Rattus norvegicus: one gene and its partners. The protein of the gene in region 4 interacts with the protein of the main gene of each other region in a pairwise test. Links are inferred from orthologs where the notes say so. Each region holds a gene or a part of one and is shown on either strand. Other genes may lie near its edges.

The links.
Region 1: the proteins of Ipcef1 (region 4) and Cyth1 interact in binary tests that used the Homo sapiens proteins (3 or more experiments, as listed by UniProt). The link is inferred for Rattus norvegicus from reciprocal best matches to the Homo sapiens genes IPCEF1 and CYTH1.
Region 2: the proteins of Ipcef1 (region 4) and Cyth3 interact in binary tests that used the Homo sapiens proteins (3 or more experiments, as listed by UniProt). The link is inferred for Rattus norvegicus from reciprocal best matches to the Homo sapiens genes IPCEF1 and CYTH3.
Region 3: the proteins of Ipcef1 (region 4) and Cyth2 interact in binary tests that used the Homo sapiens proteins (3 or more experiments, as listed by UniProt). The link is inferred for Rattus norvegicus from reciprocal best matches to the Homo sapiens genes IPCEF1 and CYTH2.

What each region holds. Positions count from the first base shown.
Region 1 is NC_086028.1:103,981,584-103,985,598, forward strand, and holds the start of Cyth1 (cytohesin-1), read right to left. Parts: upstream 2,801-4,015; 5' UTR 2,726-2,800; coding exon 2,704-2,725; intron 1-2,703. UniProt on the Homo sapiens protein: Promotes guanine-nucleotide exchange on ARF1, ARF5 and ARF6. Promotes the activation of ARF factors through replacement of GDP with GTP.
Region 2 is NC_086030.1:16,044,629-16,048,859, forward strand, and holds the start of Cyth3 (cytohesin-3), read right to left. Parts: upstream 2,801-4,231; 5' UTR 2,680-2,800; coding exon 2,646-2,679; intron 1-2,645. UniProt on the Homo sapiens protein: Promotes guanine-nucleotide exchange on ARF1 and ARF6. Promotes the activation of ARF factors through replacement of GDP with GTP. Plays a role in the epithelial polarization.
Region 3 is NC_086019.1:105,424,743-105,428,926, forward strand, and holds the start of Cyth2 (cytohesin-2), read right to left. Parts: upstream 2,801-4,184; 5' UTR 2,614-2,800; coding exon 2,595-2,613; intron 1,714-2,594; coding exon 1,566-1,713; intron 1,471-1,565; coding exon 1,404-1,470; intron 865-1,403; coding exon 746-864; intron 167-745; coding exon 86-166; intron 1-85. UniProt on the Homo sapiens protein: Acts as a guanine-nucleotide exchange factor (GEF). Promotes guanine-nucleotide exchange on ARF1, ARF3 and ARF6. Activates ARF factors through replacement of GDP with GTP.
Region 4 is NC_086019.1:45,703,494-45,706,993, forward strand, and holds part of Ipcef1 (interactor protein for cytohesin exchange factors 1), read right to left. Parts: intron 3,126-3,500; coding exon 2,753-3,125; intron 1-2,752. UniProt on the Homo sapiens protein: Enhances the promotion of guanine-nucleotide exchange by PSCD2 on ARF6 in a concentration-dependent manner.

The sequences.
Region 1 (4,015 bases), on a different chromosome or scaffold from region 4:
TCCTCTTAGCATGTGGAAACCGGACCGAGTACACTCTGTATAGTCCGATACTATCACAGACCAAACTGGGAGCTCAGCCAGACACAGAATCAACACAGGGCCAGCTACTCAGAAGGCTGAGGCAGGAAGACCATTTACTTAAACCTAGGAGTTTGAGGCCAGCCCTGTGGAATCATAGGGAGATGTTCCCCAACTAAAAATGGAAAGAGAAAAGAGAGAAGAAAAGGAGAGGAAGGGAAGGAAGGAAGGAGAGAGGGAGAAAGAGAGGAAGGAAGCTGGTCTCAGCCTCCACGTGGTCATTTTATACTATGATACTTGCGGAGTTCTCTTGTATTTAATTCCTTTAGTTCCTCTCAAATAAAAAAAGTGTAAAAAATAAAAGTGTATACAAGGTGAAATAAGCTTCCTTTTCATCCTCCTGTGCAGCTCTCTTGAAGGCTTGCACGTATGCATACCCACATCTGGGATGGTGATGTGTCCCAGTGGGTTAGAAAGCACTTGGTGATAAGTCTAGGAACCTGAGTTTCATCCCAGGACGGGCAGAGCAGAAGCAGGGAACCAACTCCTGTAAGTATGTCCTCTCCATATGCAGTAAATGAGTGAATGAATATTTTAAAAAGTTAAAGATGTGAACTTCCCAATCCTCAAATCTTTAAAAGTGTATACCCATGTGGCAAAAGGGAGGCTGAATTTGTGGATGGCTGTGACCCTTATCCTGGGTTATCCAAGTGGGTGTGACATACCAGTGTTCTTGTGAAAGGGTAGCAAGGGAGTAAAGAGATGTTACCCAGGGGATTGCCTTTAAAGATTGATACCAGGGGAAGCAAGCATTCTCTAGAGCTAGGAAAGCAATGGAGGCCAGCTTTTCCCTCCAATCTCTGGAAGGAACACTGCCCTAACAAAATATTGGTATCAGCCCAGTGTGACCTATTTTGGATTTTCTGACCTCCAGAACTATAAATTTGGGTCTGAGCGCCTCTATTCCTGGCAGTAACAGGAACCAAAACACGTCCATGTTTCCTTTCCTAGTACAAGTCATGCCTGAGTCAAGGAAGTCACTATTAAAACCAACCAGAAGAGCCGCCTCTTGCCTCACCACCCAGCAGGCAATAACCAGGGGAGGGTAAGACCAAAGCTTGGCAGAGCCCTGGCGCCTAGGGGCAACAAAGGACAAGAGGGAGAGAAAAGAGCAGTGAGGAAACCAGGTGAAGGTTTCCAGCAGAAGAAAAACCCTGAGGGTCCAAAGGGGCCTAACAATCCCTCAGGGGTCGGCCTGCGGGTGACTGCTTTTCTGTCACAAAGGAAGGCACATACCACTTCTACCTGGAAGGCAGCAAAGGCTGGCTGAACAGACAAGCACAGACCTCTAACATTCAGGGAAACACAGGTTCACTTTTCTGAAAAGTTTAGGGAGTTTTTAGCCACAACCTTCAAGGCTTCACCGGTTGGGAGTTCTCTAAGGACTTGCCTGCAGAGACCTAACACGCTTCCCTTTTGGTATTATTTTAATACTCTTCACCAGTGTGTGAGGAGGCAGTGCAGCCTGTGAGGCAACACGCCAGAGTTTGGCTCCATTATGCCCCATAAGCACGTTAAGTTCCTGATCCATACTTCCCTGACAAACCAATAAAGTTCGCCGCCGCTCGGTCTACCTGCCATTCCTTCTTCCATTCCTCTTGGAAACAAGGCTAACAACCACCATGTAAAGCATTTGAAATAACCTTCTACAACTCCAGAGACTGCACGCCCTCTGAGGGACCAGAGCCCTGGCTGGACGCCAACAAGCACCAAGGTTAGCCAGGAGAGTCTAAATCGCTGAATGCCCTGTTGGAGGATGTGGATTGGTGTCGTTACCTTCAGGCAATAGCTCAAACTTGATCTCCTTGCCCAGTGTGGCCAGGCCCTGACTGACAGACTTGGGGACCAGGAGCTAATTCACCATGCGACGGTAGCACAAACCTGACCGACGTCCCGTCTCAGAGGCCCCCGGTTCTGGCCATTTGTGTTCATCTTAGAACAAAGAGCTAGCTAGCTGGGGCACATAACTTCTAACACCCCGAGAGCCGGAAACTACCAGGGAACACAGGCCGGGCGGGCGTGTTAGTCCCGCGGCCGCTCGCTCACGGCGTTGGCCAACCCGGTGACAAGCAGCAGGCGACTGGTTTCGAAGACTCCGACCCCAGTCACCCGGCCCTGATGCCCCTCCGCGCCCCGGGGCTCCTCAGCATCCTCATGACCCTCAGCGCTCCGGTTACACGCCGCCGGCCGCGGAGACCCTCTAACCTGTGTGACTCCCCTCCCGGGGTCCCCAGACTCGCAAACCTCAGCCCCAGCGACCCTCGGGTCCGAGCAATCCCGCTCCCGGAAGCCGAAAGCCCCGAGTTAACACCTGCCCATCTCGGTGCCCTCAAGTTCGGGCGACCCCTGCCCGTGACCCTACAGGCCTGGGTGACCCGTAGCCCCGGCGACCCTCAGGCCGGAATGACACTCAGCTCCCGGCGACCATCAGGCCCGGGTGACTCTCAGTTCACGGCGACCCTAAGGACCAGGCGACCCTCAGTCCCGGCGACCCTCAGGTCCCTGAGCGCCTGGGCAGTCACCCCCGGGCCCTCGCACTGCCGGCTGCCAGCACTCGGTGCCCCGTCCCAGGGGCACCGGCGCAGGCGGAAGCGCACGAAGGGGCAGTGGACCGGCCTCACTCACCATAGCTGTCATCGTCCTCCATGGTGCCGGCGACCGACTCCGGCCACCGACCGCCACTGACCTCCCGCAGCCCGCGTCCTGCCAGACACCAGCTCGCCACAGTCCAGCTACGAACCGCGGAGCCCCGCCCCCCGCACCGCGCCCGCACTGCCCAGCACGCGCCTGCGCACGCGCCGCCCGAGGCACCGCCCCCGGCACAAGGTCCCGCCCGCAGCAAAAGCGCGCCTGCGTGAACGCCCTCTAGGCCCCGTCCGCGTGCGGGCCTCTTTGGTTTGCGTTTACGCACGCGCGGCCTACCTATGATTCCACCCTAAACCACGCCCCCGCTTCTTAGGTACGGCCCCCTCACTCTCCGCGGGGCGGGGCAGTTTCGGGTTTTAAGTTTCACAAGCGAGCGTAGGCCGCGGGCGTGGCTTACTAAGCGGGGGCCGGTGTCCAGCCACTGGGCTGGTTAAACAGACTCAAGGTCACGGGTGTCACCGAAGGGTAGGTGACTCTGGTTGAATCCACCTCTCACTCCAGCTTGTCCAGGAGGAATTCCTGCCGGCGCCAAGTTTCACAGGACGACATAACTGCCCGCTTTACTACCTTAGCGTCAATTCACGGACTCTGGGGCTTTTTTTGGGAGGACCAGTTGATCCTCCTTTGCAGTGTGGGGGCGGGGGACCGCTTCTGTGGAGGTGAAAGCATTTATGCCGCAGGAGGTCTCTGCAGAATTAATTAGTGGAAACAACCAACTAATATCTGAAAAGGCCCCTAGGGAACACCCTGTCCTGTGAACTCTAGACAAGTGGCTGAGCTGTGCTGCTCAGTGATGAGCACTTGCCTAGCGTGCATCCCAGAAACCAGGGAAAAAGAGAGGACTGATTCCCAAAGACTCAGAGAGTCTCATATATGGGCTGGGGCATCACCAAGTTGTAGCTCCCTTTCCAGGATGTCCCCCATACACCGTGCAAACCCTCCTTACCCCAGAAAGGCCTGAGGTAGTGGTGCCTGCCTGTTGCATGCCTGTTGTTAGTCCAGCTTCCCTGGAAGCTGAGGCAGGAGGACAATATAGTGAAACTGCACCTCAAAAACAAAAAACCTAAAAGTATAGCAAAAGAGGCGCTGGGAGGTTTGAGGGAGGATCTTCCGGACTGAAACAAAGGTGTGAAATCCAGTGCTGCAGAAGGGCAGCTCCAGAACCAGCTTTCTCCCTTCACAGCTCCCTCTCTGCAAATCACTGCCTGGAGAAGGTCCAGGGATTCTCTGGGCTTCTGCAGGGCATGAAGGGGTCAGGCCAACCACAGTGGGAGGAAGGAGAGTCAGGTCT
Region 2 (4,231 bases), on a different chromosome or scaffold from region 4:
ACTACTATTCGAATACATTTAGCTTTTTTTTTTTTTAATCTTCTAAGAAAGCTGAAACAGGGCTCCCAGATGCAGATTAAAGGTCTCTCCTGGGGTTGGGGATTTAGCTCAGTGGTAGAGCGCTTGCCTAGCAGGCCGCAAGGCCCTGGGTTCGGTCCCCAACTCTCGGGAAAAAAAAAAAAAAGATGCCAAAGCACCCGTAAGTATCTTACCACAATGTGAGCAGGAAAGATTTTTTTTTGATAAGCTGAATCAATAAAAATTAAAAAGCCGTTTTCTATCACATAGCACACTGTCTGGCATTCCAGCAGGGAAAGAAAAAAAAATCAATAAATCTCTTTGTTGTCAAATGTTCCAGGAAGGTGAATTAAATCACGCTGTATGTTTAAAATATGTGGATCTTTTATAAGCCCAGATTTTTTTTTTTTTGGTCTAAATTTGAAAGCATGTGTTCTTATTCAAAAAACCTGGGAAATATAAGAGAAAATCCATAATGACAGCAGTATTTACATTGTTTAGATCAGAATGTATAAAAGAACTGCTTGTCCTTGGTAACTTTTTAAAACTGCATGTGTGCGCAAGCTTGTTGCTGCTTGCCTGAGGAGGTCAGAAGACAACTTGTGGGCGGCAGGGCCCTCCTCCACCATGTGGCTCCTGGAGAGTGAGCTCCAGCTGTCAATTTGTAATGTCTCCCTGAAGTAACCTTACCTGGTCGCGGTTACTGTGTCTCATTTTTTAACTGTTGGCCATGACAGTGCAGTATCATTGAACTGAACATCTTTTTTTTTTTTTTAATTTTAAGAGTGTTTCTCTGGTACATTAATATATCCAGAGACATTAATGGTCCAGAGATAGCTTTAAGCCTTCCTGCTACTTTAATATTGACCTTCATTATACTTCTCAAATTCCAGGGACTGCTGAAACACATTGGCTTCTAAGTTTCCCCCACTGTATCTGCTTTTACCTTCAAATCTTTCACATGTTGACTCAACAGACTGCAGCACCTGCAAAGCCGTCCCCAATTCAGCTTCCTGGATTCCAATGTCCAATTGCCACTGTCCTGTCTTTTCTAAACTATGTCAAACTGTGATATAGGCGAAAGGCAAGGCATCCACAGGGATCCAGTGCCTCCAGCCCCGCAGCCGGTCTGTAGGAGGGTTTGCAACTGGGCTCTTTCTTTTCACAAACAAAACACCCACTCGGTGCCACTGTGCTACCCCTGGCTTTTACTATGAGAACTGAACTTGGCAAATGCCACGAGGAGTGCCAACTTCCTACCAGCCCAGCCACCCCGTTTCTTTCACAGAGAAGGAAAAAAAAAATCTGAGAAGCTCTGGAATTCTAGAAGGCACCTTGATTAACCACTTCACGGGGAAGTCTTCAATATTGCTGATTCTTACAGGCAGCTGCTCCAGCAGCCTGTAATTAAGACTTTTTTCCCCCCTAAACACTCCCTTATTACATGGGACTCTGATCATTCTGTCAGCAAAAAGGAAGATCGTTACTCAAAGTCCAGACAGCTTCAACTTGGGGTGTTTGGGTAAAAATGATGGGTACATTATTAACCCCTTGCTTTCTCAATCAAAGACCCACTCGACGAACGGGGACTCTTAATGTTTTGGGAAACCAAATTCATGAAATGATACAACAGGAATTTGTAATCCGTTGAGTAATTTGCAACCAGCACATCTGCAGGAGGACAGAATTCAAAGTCAGGCACATAGAGCCTGAGCAACACCGAGAACTGATAACCCACCTCTGGAAGGGTGTCTGCCCCTGAGAAATGATAACCACCTCAGGAAGGGTGTCTGCCACACACACCTGTCCTGGAGTCTTACAGCCTTGTTGGCTGTGGCTCCCGCTTCCCACCCTCGGCTTTAGAGAGATCCCACCTGACCCCTTTAATTTCTTAATTATATTTTCCATTTGGTGGTGTTGTGAACAAACTCAGGGCCATGCTAGACAATTATTCTATCATTCAGCTATTTGCCCCCCTCTTTATTTTTGCACCCCACCCCTTCTCTGTAGCATTTTTTTTTTCTATTTGATAAAAATGCATACTCAGACCTGGACTGGAGCTGCCTGTCCCTCATGTCCTTTAAGCCATTCCCAACGAGTACTTCTGATCTAAAACCCGGAGACGTTGTTATGACTTCCAACCTTCCTCCTCTCCCCCGGACCGATCCAACAGACCCCACCCCCGGGCCCCGAGGCGTCCAAATTGAAAACTTTCCCCTCCCCATCCACGAGCTCCCAAGCTCCAGACACCTGAGGAGAGCTGAAAAGGAGAGGGGCCCGTCCGAAACAGCTGGACTAGGGAGGGCGTGGACGCCCTTGGCAATGAGACGCTGGGAAGGTCGCCCCGCAATGTGCTCCCATCTCGGAAAGGCGACCTGGAGCTGTGCAGCGAAGACCCTGGCCTCGAACCCGCGACCCGCTACCGCGCTGGGCGACGACCCTGCGGTCTCCGACTTGTCCTCTCACCAACGCTGCGAAGCCCGCGTCCCGGCCTTACCCCGAGCACCTCCCCACGGTCGCCACCAACCCACCCGACACCCGGCCCCACATCTCAAGCCAGGGCTCTCAACAGCGCGACCCCCGGCCTCAGGGCCGCCCAGAGAGCCGGCCACACCTCCATCACTCACCGCTGCCGCCCTCACCGCCACCGCCTTCGTCCATCTTGAGGCCACTCCCAGCCAGCCGGCGAGCCCGGAGCCGGCGGGAGCGACTGGGCTGAAAGCCGGGACTAGGAGAAGTGGTCGCGGGGAGAACGGAGGAGCTCCTCAGCGTGCGCGGCCCGGGTCGCGGCCGGGCCTCCACGGAGGGCCGGGCGGAGCCTCGCTGCTCCGGCGCCGTCACGTGACATAAACCACGCCCCCCTCTGTGGGTGTGGGCGGAGACTAGACGCCTAGTGGTCCCGCCCTCCAGACTCCGCCGGGCCTTGCAGTAGCTGCAGTAGCTGCTTAGCCTAGAGACTTGGATCCTGCAGCGCTGCACCCTCCTTCGAACCTGGTGTCTGCCCCTCTAGAGCATCCTGGAGAGGAAGCCGTGTCTATCAGGAGCACGAGGACGCCCCGCTCTACAAAACCAAATGGCTATGTTGCGACTCGCAAGTGCATGGAGTAGGGGAGTGGGAAAAGATCTGGAAGGGAAGGCTGATGATGATTGGCTCAACGAAAAGAACTAACTATAAGTTTTACTGTGACCGCAGCATGCATGGGCGTCCAAACATGACATACACACAGTAATAATTGTGTGAGGAGATAGTTCTGTTGTTAAGAGCACTCTCTGCTCTTGAAGAGAGCCAGAGTTTGTTTCCAGCACTCACAGAACCCTTGTAACTACAGCTCCAAAAAGGATCGGATACTTCTGGCCTCCAAAGACACCTGTACTCATATGAGGGTTATCTGGAACACTCTTCTTGCCTCCAACGACACCAGGCATGCTTGTGGTGCATACATACACGCGGGCAAAACACCTATACACACAAAATAAATTTAAAAGAAAAACTTTTTTGAGACAGGGTTTCTCTGCATAGCCCTCAATATCATGGAACTCTCTGTGTGTACCAGGCTAACCTTCGACTCAGAGGTCTTCCTGCCTCTGACACCCGAATGCTGGAACTAAAAGGATGAGCCAAGGGGTTGGGGATTTAGCTCAGTGGTAGAGCGCTTGCCTAGCAAGCACAAGGCCCTGGGTTCGGTCCTCAGCTCCGAAGGGGAAAAAAAAAAGAAAAGAAAAAGAAAAGGATGACCCAACATGCCCAGCTAAATAATTTTTTTTTCAAATGTTTATTTTAAAAAATAATTTTAAAAATAATAAAAATTGGGTGTGATGCTTTGATGACAGCAAGCAAATCTCTATGAATTCTTCGTGGGCTTGGTCTATATAGTGAGTTCTAGGTTAGCCAGAGATACCTAGTGAGTCCCTGTCTGAAATAATAACAATAATAATAATCGTCATCATCATCGTCTGAAAATGAGCCCACTGTGAAGAAGCCTCTCCCTCTCCCCACCTCCTCCCTTCTTCATCCTCAAGATGTTAGGGTAATTCCAGCCTTTTATCCCTTCCGTGTATAATGAAAATGGAGTCTCTTTTTCCTGCGGATTGGATGCATTTTAAAATTAACAAAGTATCGAGGTTTGTAAATGAATGTAGTCATGACGTTGAACCCTAATCCCAGTCCAGCACAGCTGGGGCCCAGCTCTCAAAAAGCCTGATTACAGAGGTT
Region 3 (4,184 bases), about 60 Mb from region 4:
AGTGAGTGTGGCTTGTTTTGGTTGGTATGGCTCGACCCTCACAGCTGAGAAGGCCCTGGCAGGTGCATTTCTGCCCCATCCTCACCGGAGGGCCTGAACCAGATTGAGGTCGGTGAACTCATGTAGATCCACAAAAGCATGGAGCACAGACAGGTTCAGCTCTTCCCTGGAGGGAGATACAGTCACATCAGGAGAGTGATAGGACAGATAACAATGTCACATCTTGTTCACTGTGCTGCCTCCACAGTGGCTCAGCCTGTCCCCTGGCTTTAAGCACAGGTCGGGTCCTGGAATAGGAGGACACTTTGCTCTTGTAGCCCGTCGAAGCTTTGAGCACACAAAGGACCTGATGTCACTTCTCTCAACTGTTCTTGTGCTCCCTACAAGCCTTATCTCAAGAGCTGGCCTTTATCTAAGAACCCACGAGCAATTCCCAGTTCCTATGCACTCACGCATCTACAGAGGTTTCTACACACGTGGGGCTCTGGCCCATGGCTCAAGACTTCCAGACAACCCAGTTGTGTATCCACGGTTAAGGTGCTAACATTCAGACTTCAGTAGTCCCTCAAACATAACGGGTGCCCTTACTCACTGGATGCCTACAGGTGCCACCTCCCAAGACTCAAACCCTGCCCCTGCAGAGCTAGTCAGTCCATTGTATCATGACCCAGTGGAGGCCACAAACCTGCTGTACCCCATGAGACGCTAAAGAGGGTGGAAGCACTGTGCAGGCCTGGCAGCTCACCTTTCCCCTAGGTAGTCCCCAATGGCTGTCTTGTTCAGCCCCTCGCCCTTGTACAGGAAGCGGGCAATTTCCTCAGGTGTGTTCTGTAGAAGTTCATGCTCCACCAAGAATTGGATCCCCTGGAGGGAGGGGGCCAGATTTGTGCTCAGGGCAGAGGTTCCTGCACCGAAGCTTCCTCACCCTAACAAAGCACGACCACCTTCACATAGCCCCCCACGTGCCATCCCTAGCCTACTCCCTCAGCCTCTCCGGCTAATTCCAGCATGAACAACTGGGCCTGTCGAGGAATGGGTCTGAAGAATAACTGGATACACTACTACACATTACAATAAAGAAATGACGCTGACACCACATACCTGCCCACGTAGACAGGAACATGGAATCCCTTACCTGGCTCTTCCTGTGGCATGAAAGCCCCTCTCTTACTACCTATCTCATCCTGAACTGTAAGCACTTATATCGAGGGGTCCCCCAGAATATGGCAGGGTCTTAGGGTTCTCAGCATTGCAAAGCACAGAGCCAGGCTCCCAAAGGCCTCAGTACACAATCATTGGACAGATGTCTAGGGATCCAGCCTGCTGCCTAGAGGAAACCTACTGTCTTAACACTTCTAGAACCAGAGATGTCAAAACCGTGCCTGAGTATCTTCCCTGCTAACCTTTTTGGGGTCCATGTTGAATTTCTTCCGGCCCATTGCCATCTTCCGGTTCCGCTGCAAGGTCTTACTGCAAGAGCAGGGTGGTGAGCAGCCAAGGGTCGATGCTTCAGCACCCAGAGCCCTGGCTACGCCCCATGTCCCATGAACTCCCACGGTCCTCACCTGCCCTCATTGGCCTCCAGACCCTCCACTTCGCTCATAGCTTCACTTAGCTCTTCCCGGAGGCGCTGGATCTCCACCAGCAGCTCCTGCTTTCGCCGACGGATGTTCTCCAGCTCCATGCGCTCCTCTGGAGTCAAGTCTGGGGGCTCTGGGGACCAGGGTCAAGAGATTAGTTCTGGGGAGTAAGGCCCGGAAGTCCTTAGTTTGGGGCTGAAGTCCCTGAGAATCCCATCTCATAGGTCTGAGGATGCATTTCTGGGCCCATTACTCGGAAGGGAACCACTCCCTGGGATCCTGGTCCCACCACAGTCAGAAACTCTAAGTCTGAATTTTAAATGCTTTATTTGGATGCCCTGGCTCCTTGGTTCCAACACAGTAGAACAGGGTGCTTGGATACTGGAAACATTACTTGGAAGGCCTTGGGCTCATGGCTCCATCATCGAAAGGGCTTTGGAACCCTAGATCTTGGAAGGGAGTAGGTCCCTTCGTGGTTGAGGACCTGGGAATCCTGCATCTTGGGTGCAAATCTTAGAAAGAAATCAGGACTCTGGCTTCTGGATCCACCACAATATGGACCTTTGGTGCATTTCTTGTAAGGGGGCCCGATTCTGGCTCCATCATGGTGGGAAAGTTGGGGGTCCTGAATCTTGGGTGCATTTCTTGGAAAGAACCCGAGGTTCTGGTTCCGCCATAGCGGACACTGTGGTCTGGATCTTGGGTACACAGTAGAGTCAGGATAGGGCAGCAGGATCCTGGGTCAGGGTCGGTAGGGACGGCGTTAAGCCTAGGTCTGCAGGAAGAAAGCCAGGCCGCTGCTCCCGCGGGTGTACGCCCCGCCCCGCCCCGCTCCGCGCCCCGCCCGCCGCCGCCGCCGGAAGCGGGCTCGGCCCAAACAATGGCCCGGGACCCCCGGCTCTCGACCGCGCCGGAAGCCCGTCCCGCGCGCTGAAAGGCGCCTCGCCACTGCTCTGCTGTCCGCGGCGGGGCTTGGGAACCGCTCCGCCCGCCCGCCCGCCTCGCCCGGCCTACCGTAGACACCGTCCTCCATGGCGGCTAGGAAGGCCCGCGGGGAGTCCGGGGCGTTTCCGCCGGCTGGGCCTGCGTCCGCGTCGGCCCGCGGGCTCGAGTGAGCCCGCTCAAACGCCCCAGGAGCCACCGCCGCCTCCTCAGCGCCCGTCCTCAGCGCCGAAAAGACTCTCCCTTCACGGCCCAACCGCCCGGCCGGTGGGGCCCGCCCCTCGCTTTGACACCACCCAATCCGCTGCGGGTCTCCCCGACTGCTCCGCCCCCCGACACCACAGGATCATCTCCAGGACCAATAGGCACACGAGAAGCAGATGCAGGAACGTACAGCTGGCAATAGACTGCTAGGCTGACCAATCGGACTATGGGTAGTTTGTTCAGTCCCGCCTCCAAGACAAAGGAAAATCCTTGGCAGTTTTACCCTCCAATAAGAAAACTGAAAAAGAAGTGACCAGGAGGTGTGACTTCATGGAGAGGGGAGATTGCGCCTGCGCACAAGCCAGACTAGGGCTACCTAACCCTCCTCCACCAACCCCTCCGCAGGCATTCGTTGTTAGGGGGCGGTGCCTTATTAGTTTTGTTGTCAAGGGCGGGTCTCAACCTTGGGTTGTTGCTCCAGCCACACCTCCTGGCCCTCCATGCTAGCTTTTGACCGCAGTGGTTGCCAAGCAACTGGGAGCCTCACAGGCCCGTCTTTCTGCCCCCTTTTCAGGGTACTTCTTAGCAGGTCGCAATCTTTGAACCCCTTTCGTACCACCACATTAGACTTTCCTACACACCTGAAATCTCAGACTCAAAGGATGGTAAATAAAAGCATTCTGTCTTCCAAATGTTACGGTATTGGGTACCGTGAATGCAAGGGCTCTACCTTCCCAGCGCTTTGTCTGTTTTTCAGGCTCTTCCTCTCTTCTAAACTCTCCCTCTTAGCTTCCTCTTCCGAAAACTCTGCCTTCCCCAGGCATTCTCCCAAGGCACCCCTTTTCCCTCAGAATCTTCCGCTTTGCACTGTCAAGTTTGGCAGTTCTCCAAGAGTCGGTACTTAAAGTCTTCCTTCGACCCAACCTTTTCAGTCCCCACACTCCTGCCCTTAAACTCATCTCTCCTCCCAGAATTCTCTTCCCCTTTGCAGGGGAAGCGGTGAGGAGCCTGCATGGTGGGGACTCTGGCATACTTGTAAATCCCAGGCCCATGATGGGTGGGGCTTCCAGGTCTTGCCCTCATTTGTGTCCCTGGACTGCTCAGGTGGGGGTGGATTCTGGGCCAGGACTTGGTTAAGCCTTTGGATTAGTCATGGAGCCTCCTAATCCCCTCTGTGACCTTTATGAGTGAGTGGCCTGACCCATGCCCTCCCTCATGGAGACCCTGGGTACACCAGTCCTACCCAGTTCTCTCCTGTTCATTAGAATTGCCTGCCCCTGCCTGTCCAGCCCAACTGAGCATCTTTCTCCATCATGGTCTCCTTTGTTCTTAGTCCCTGCCCTAGACCTGGAGGTGGGAGAGCGGCCAGTTAATTAATCCTGTCCGGTTATTACCTAGGGATTCTGAAGGATAAAGCAAGATGAGAACCCAAAGAGGGCATGGGTGGATTCAACACTC
Region 4 (3,500 bases):
TTGTTACAGAGAGGAGAGAGGAATTTCCACATCCTTTTATAATTATTATTGTTGTTGTTGTTGTTGTTATTGTATATGAAGGTATATGGAGACACATATATTATTATAATTATTATTATTATTATTATTACTATTGTATATGTGAGGTATATGGGGCACAGTTTATTGTTGTTGTTATTGTTGTTGTATGTGTGAGGTGTATGGGGGCACACATGTGCCACAGTACATGTGCAGAAGTCAAAGGACAACCTTTAAGAGTTCGTTCACGGGGTTGGGGATTTAGTTCAGTGGTAGAGCGCTTGCCTAGCAAGCGCAAGGCCCTGGGTTCGGTCCCCAGCTCCGAAAAAAAAAAAAAAGATAGATAAAAAGAGTTCGTTCACTTTTTTTCTAATTATCTTTATGATTATCCAGGCTTAAATTGGGGTTGTTAGACTTATACACCACCTACTTTACTCACTGAATTATCCTGTCAACCCCTCTTGTATTTCTCCTTCTAAACAAATGATTACAGTCAGTTCTTCAATGGGAAACAATTGTTTGGCTTCTCCATTCTTAACATCTATATCTTTTTTTTTTCTCTTTTACATTTATTTTCATTCATTCACTCATTCATTTTTATGAGAGTTTTGTTCAAAGTGTTATAATCATATTCAACCTCTTCCACCACAACTCTTCCAGATTCATGTCCTATCCATGTATTCATCCTGACCCTCCTAACTTTGTGTCCTTTAAAAACAAACAAAACCCCTCAGTACTAATTTGTGCTGCCCAAATACTTTGTGATGCGTGCGAGACCACATTTGCATCTTGTAATCGCAAAGCTAAAGGTCACTTAAAACCCACACTTGAAATTCTGTGTCTTTGCCAGAACAAAAAATATAATCAATATGTACTGCACACTCTATATTTGAGGAAAATGGCCATTTCCAAATAGTATGCACATCCAGTGATAGTCACATAGGCATGAGCTGTCTCTTCTGTTTTGAACAGCTCATAGCTTCAGAAAAAGAAGTTTCTTAACTCATATTTATACCTCCCGTCTGATCACACCACTGACCTTACTTGCCTATGCCAAGGGAGATGCTATTAATCCCAATACTTTGTTTGTACAACATCCCCTCATATATTTGTGGCCAGACAGAGACCACTACTTCCCTTCCTCACAGAACAATCCTCTTAGCCCTCTCCCTCAAAGGTTATCTCCTACCTACCCTACCTACTCAGCTACCTCTAGAAGTTATTTTCTAATAAAAAGTGGGTAATTGGTTCAGATTGAAGATATCAATGTAAAATATCACTTAATATAAAGCATCCATGGAGAAAGCCCTAAAAAACAGTGACAACTGAGTGACTTCAAGAATGAGTTACTAGCCTGGCTGTTTAACTTCACATGTATTAAAATATAGTATGCCCTCATGCACACACACACACACACACACACACACATACAAACACACACACACACATACACGCACACACACATACACATACACGCACACACACACACATACATACATACACACACACACACACACACACACACACACACACGCAGCATATAGTTGCATCCTGGCACATAGTTGTGAGCTCTGGCCTAAATTATTGTCTTCTAAAAATTAAATTAATAGGGAATATCCAAAATATTGATACTTTTTAAGGGTTTACTTCACAATATATATATATACATATATATATATGCCCCCCTTTCTCTGTATACATGTGTGTGCATGCGTATGTGAGTGCATGTGTGTGTGTGCATCTATGCCCATGCATGTGCATCCACAATGCATTTGGATACAAACAGAAGCCTGAGGAGAACATAGATCCCTTGGGCTGGAGGTACAGGTGGTTGTGAGCCACCCAATGCGGGTGCTAGGAACTGAGTGCCTAAAGAGCAGCGCTAAGCCACTGAGTATCTCCAGCCCCATACCTGAGAACTTAAGGACACCCTCCCTGCTCAGGGTAGAGGAGAAAGAATGGTCATTCATGTCATTGGGCAACCACTGCAAGTTAGCATAGGAATTTAGCAAGCCAACTTTTAGCAGTACACTGAAAACTTACAGTGCAAATCCATTATTCTCCAGTTGCTCACTGACATCAGATATCCTTGTTTTACACCAAAATGAATGAGGCACAATTAGAAAAGACTTGTCATGAATGGGTAGTGATAGACACACATTTGTCCTGAATCAAAAATGAAAGTTATCAAAGAATATTTAAGACACATTATTGATTTCTACACACAACTATTTCTTTTGTCAAGAGAAAACTCTTTCCCATAAATATAAGCTGTTGCCTCGTCTGTAGGTGATGCCCTTGAGAATGCATGTGAAATATCTGCCTTCCATCAATTACAAAGATACCCTTAAGAGACCACTGATCAGCCCTTTCCAACAGGAAGATGGCCTCTCTAAGCCCATCTGGTAACATTCAACCAAAATAAATGCACTTTACAGATCCCCAGGGCTTAATTATTAGACTACGGAACCATAAAAGGGGGTTCCCCAAATTTATGGGGAGGAGTTACCATATGAACACATGCCTGCCTGCTTTATTTGGTTAGTGACACTTAGCAACCAGAGTTGCCACAGGCAAATTCTACCAAAGGAGCCAGCAGCTAAACCCATGTGACTAATTATCAAATAGCCATTCATGAGTTTAAAACCTTTTTGTTACAATTTTATATCAGAGTTATATAATGCCCCCAACAAATATTTGCCATCTAAGAAGAATAAGCAATTTCCTGGTTTACCTCTGTCTGTCATTCTTGATCCAGAAGCTCTGTCTGGGACTGTTAGATGGTCTTGACTGTTGTTCAGTGAAGAAGTGTCATCACTAGACAAAGAGTTCAAACAACCACTTTCTGGTGTTGTGGAGCTGTTTTCTGAGACCCGGCAACTGCTTGCCTCTGAGGAGGCAAGTGTGTGGACCTGTACAGCAAATGACAGGGGATGTCCCACATCTTCGGTAGCAGGCGAGCTGTTAACTATGTCAAGCCACGACTGTCTTTCTTTAGATCCCGAGGAAGAAAACCGGCTGGGTGCCTTTACTGTATTTTCCAGAGAAGAGAAAGAACATGATGTTTCTCTCCGTTTGGGTGAAGAAGAAGATGCCCGCCGTGCAGCCTATTTTCCACAAATAAAATCAGAAGGAAGAGGAGGAAAAGAAGAGAGACTGTGAATTATCATTCTCTCTGTCCGAATTTTATTCAAATTTGCCCAGAATTGTTTCAAAAAAGTGATCAGAAACTTTTTTAAAAAGTCAGAGGAAAAAGGAAAAATGTGTGACACTCGTTTCTGTATGCCAGCTAAGAGCCTTTTGTGGGGTTTTGAGTTTACTATATAAGATTTGAAAAATCCCTATAGCAAGATTGTTTTACTCAAAACTTTCAACATTTCCAACAACTTAAACACTACGTTAGAACAATTCTGTAGAACGTTTGTGAGTGCAATGATAACTTGTCGTTATTTTTGATTCACAATGAAATGAGCAAAAACAAG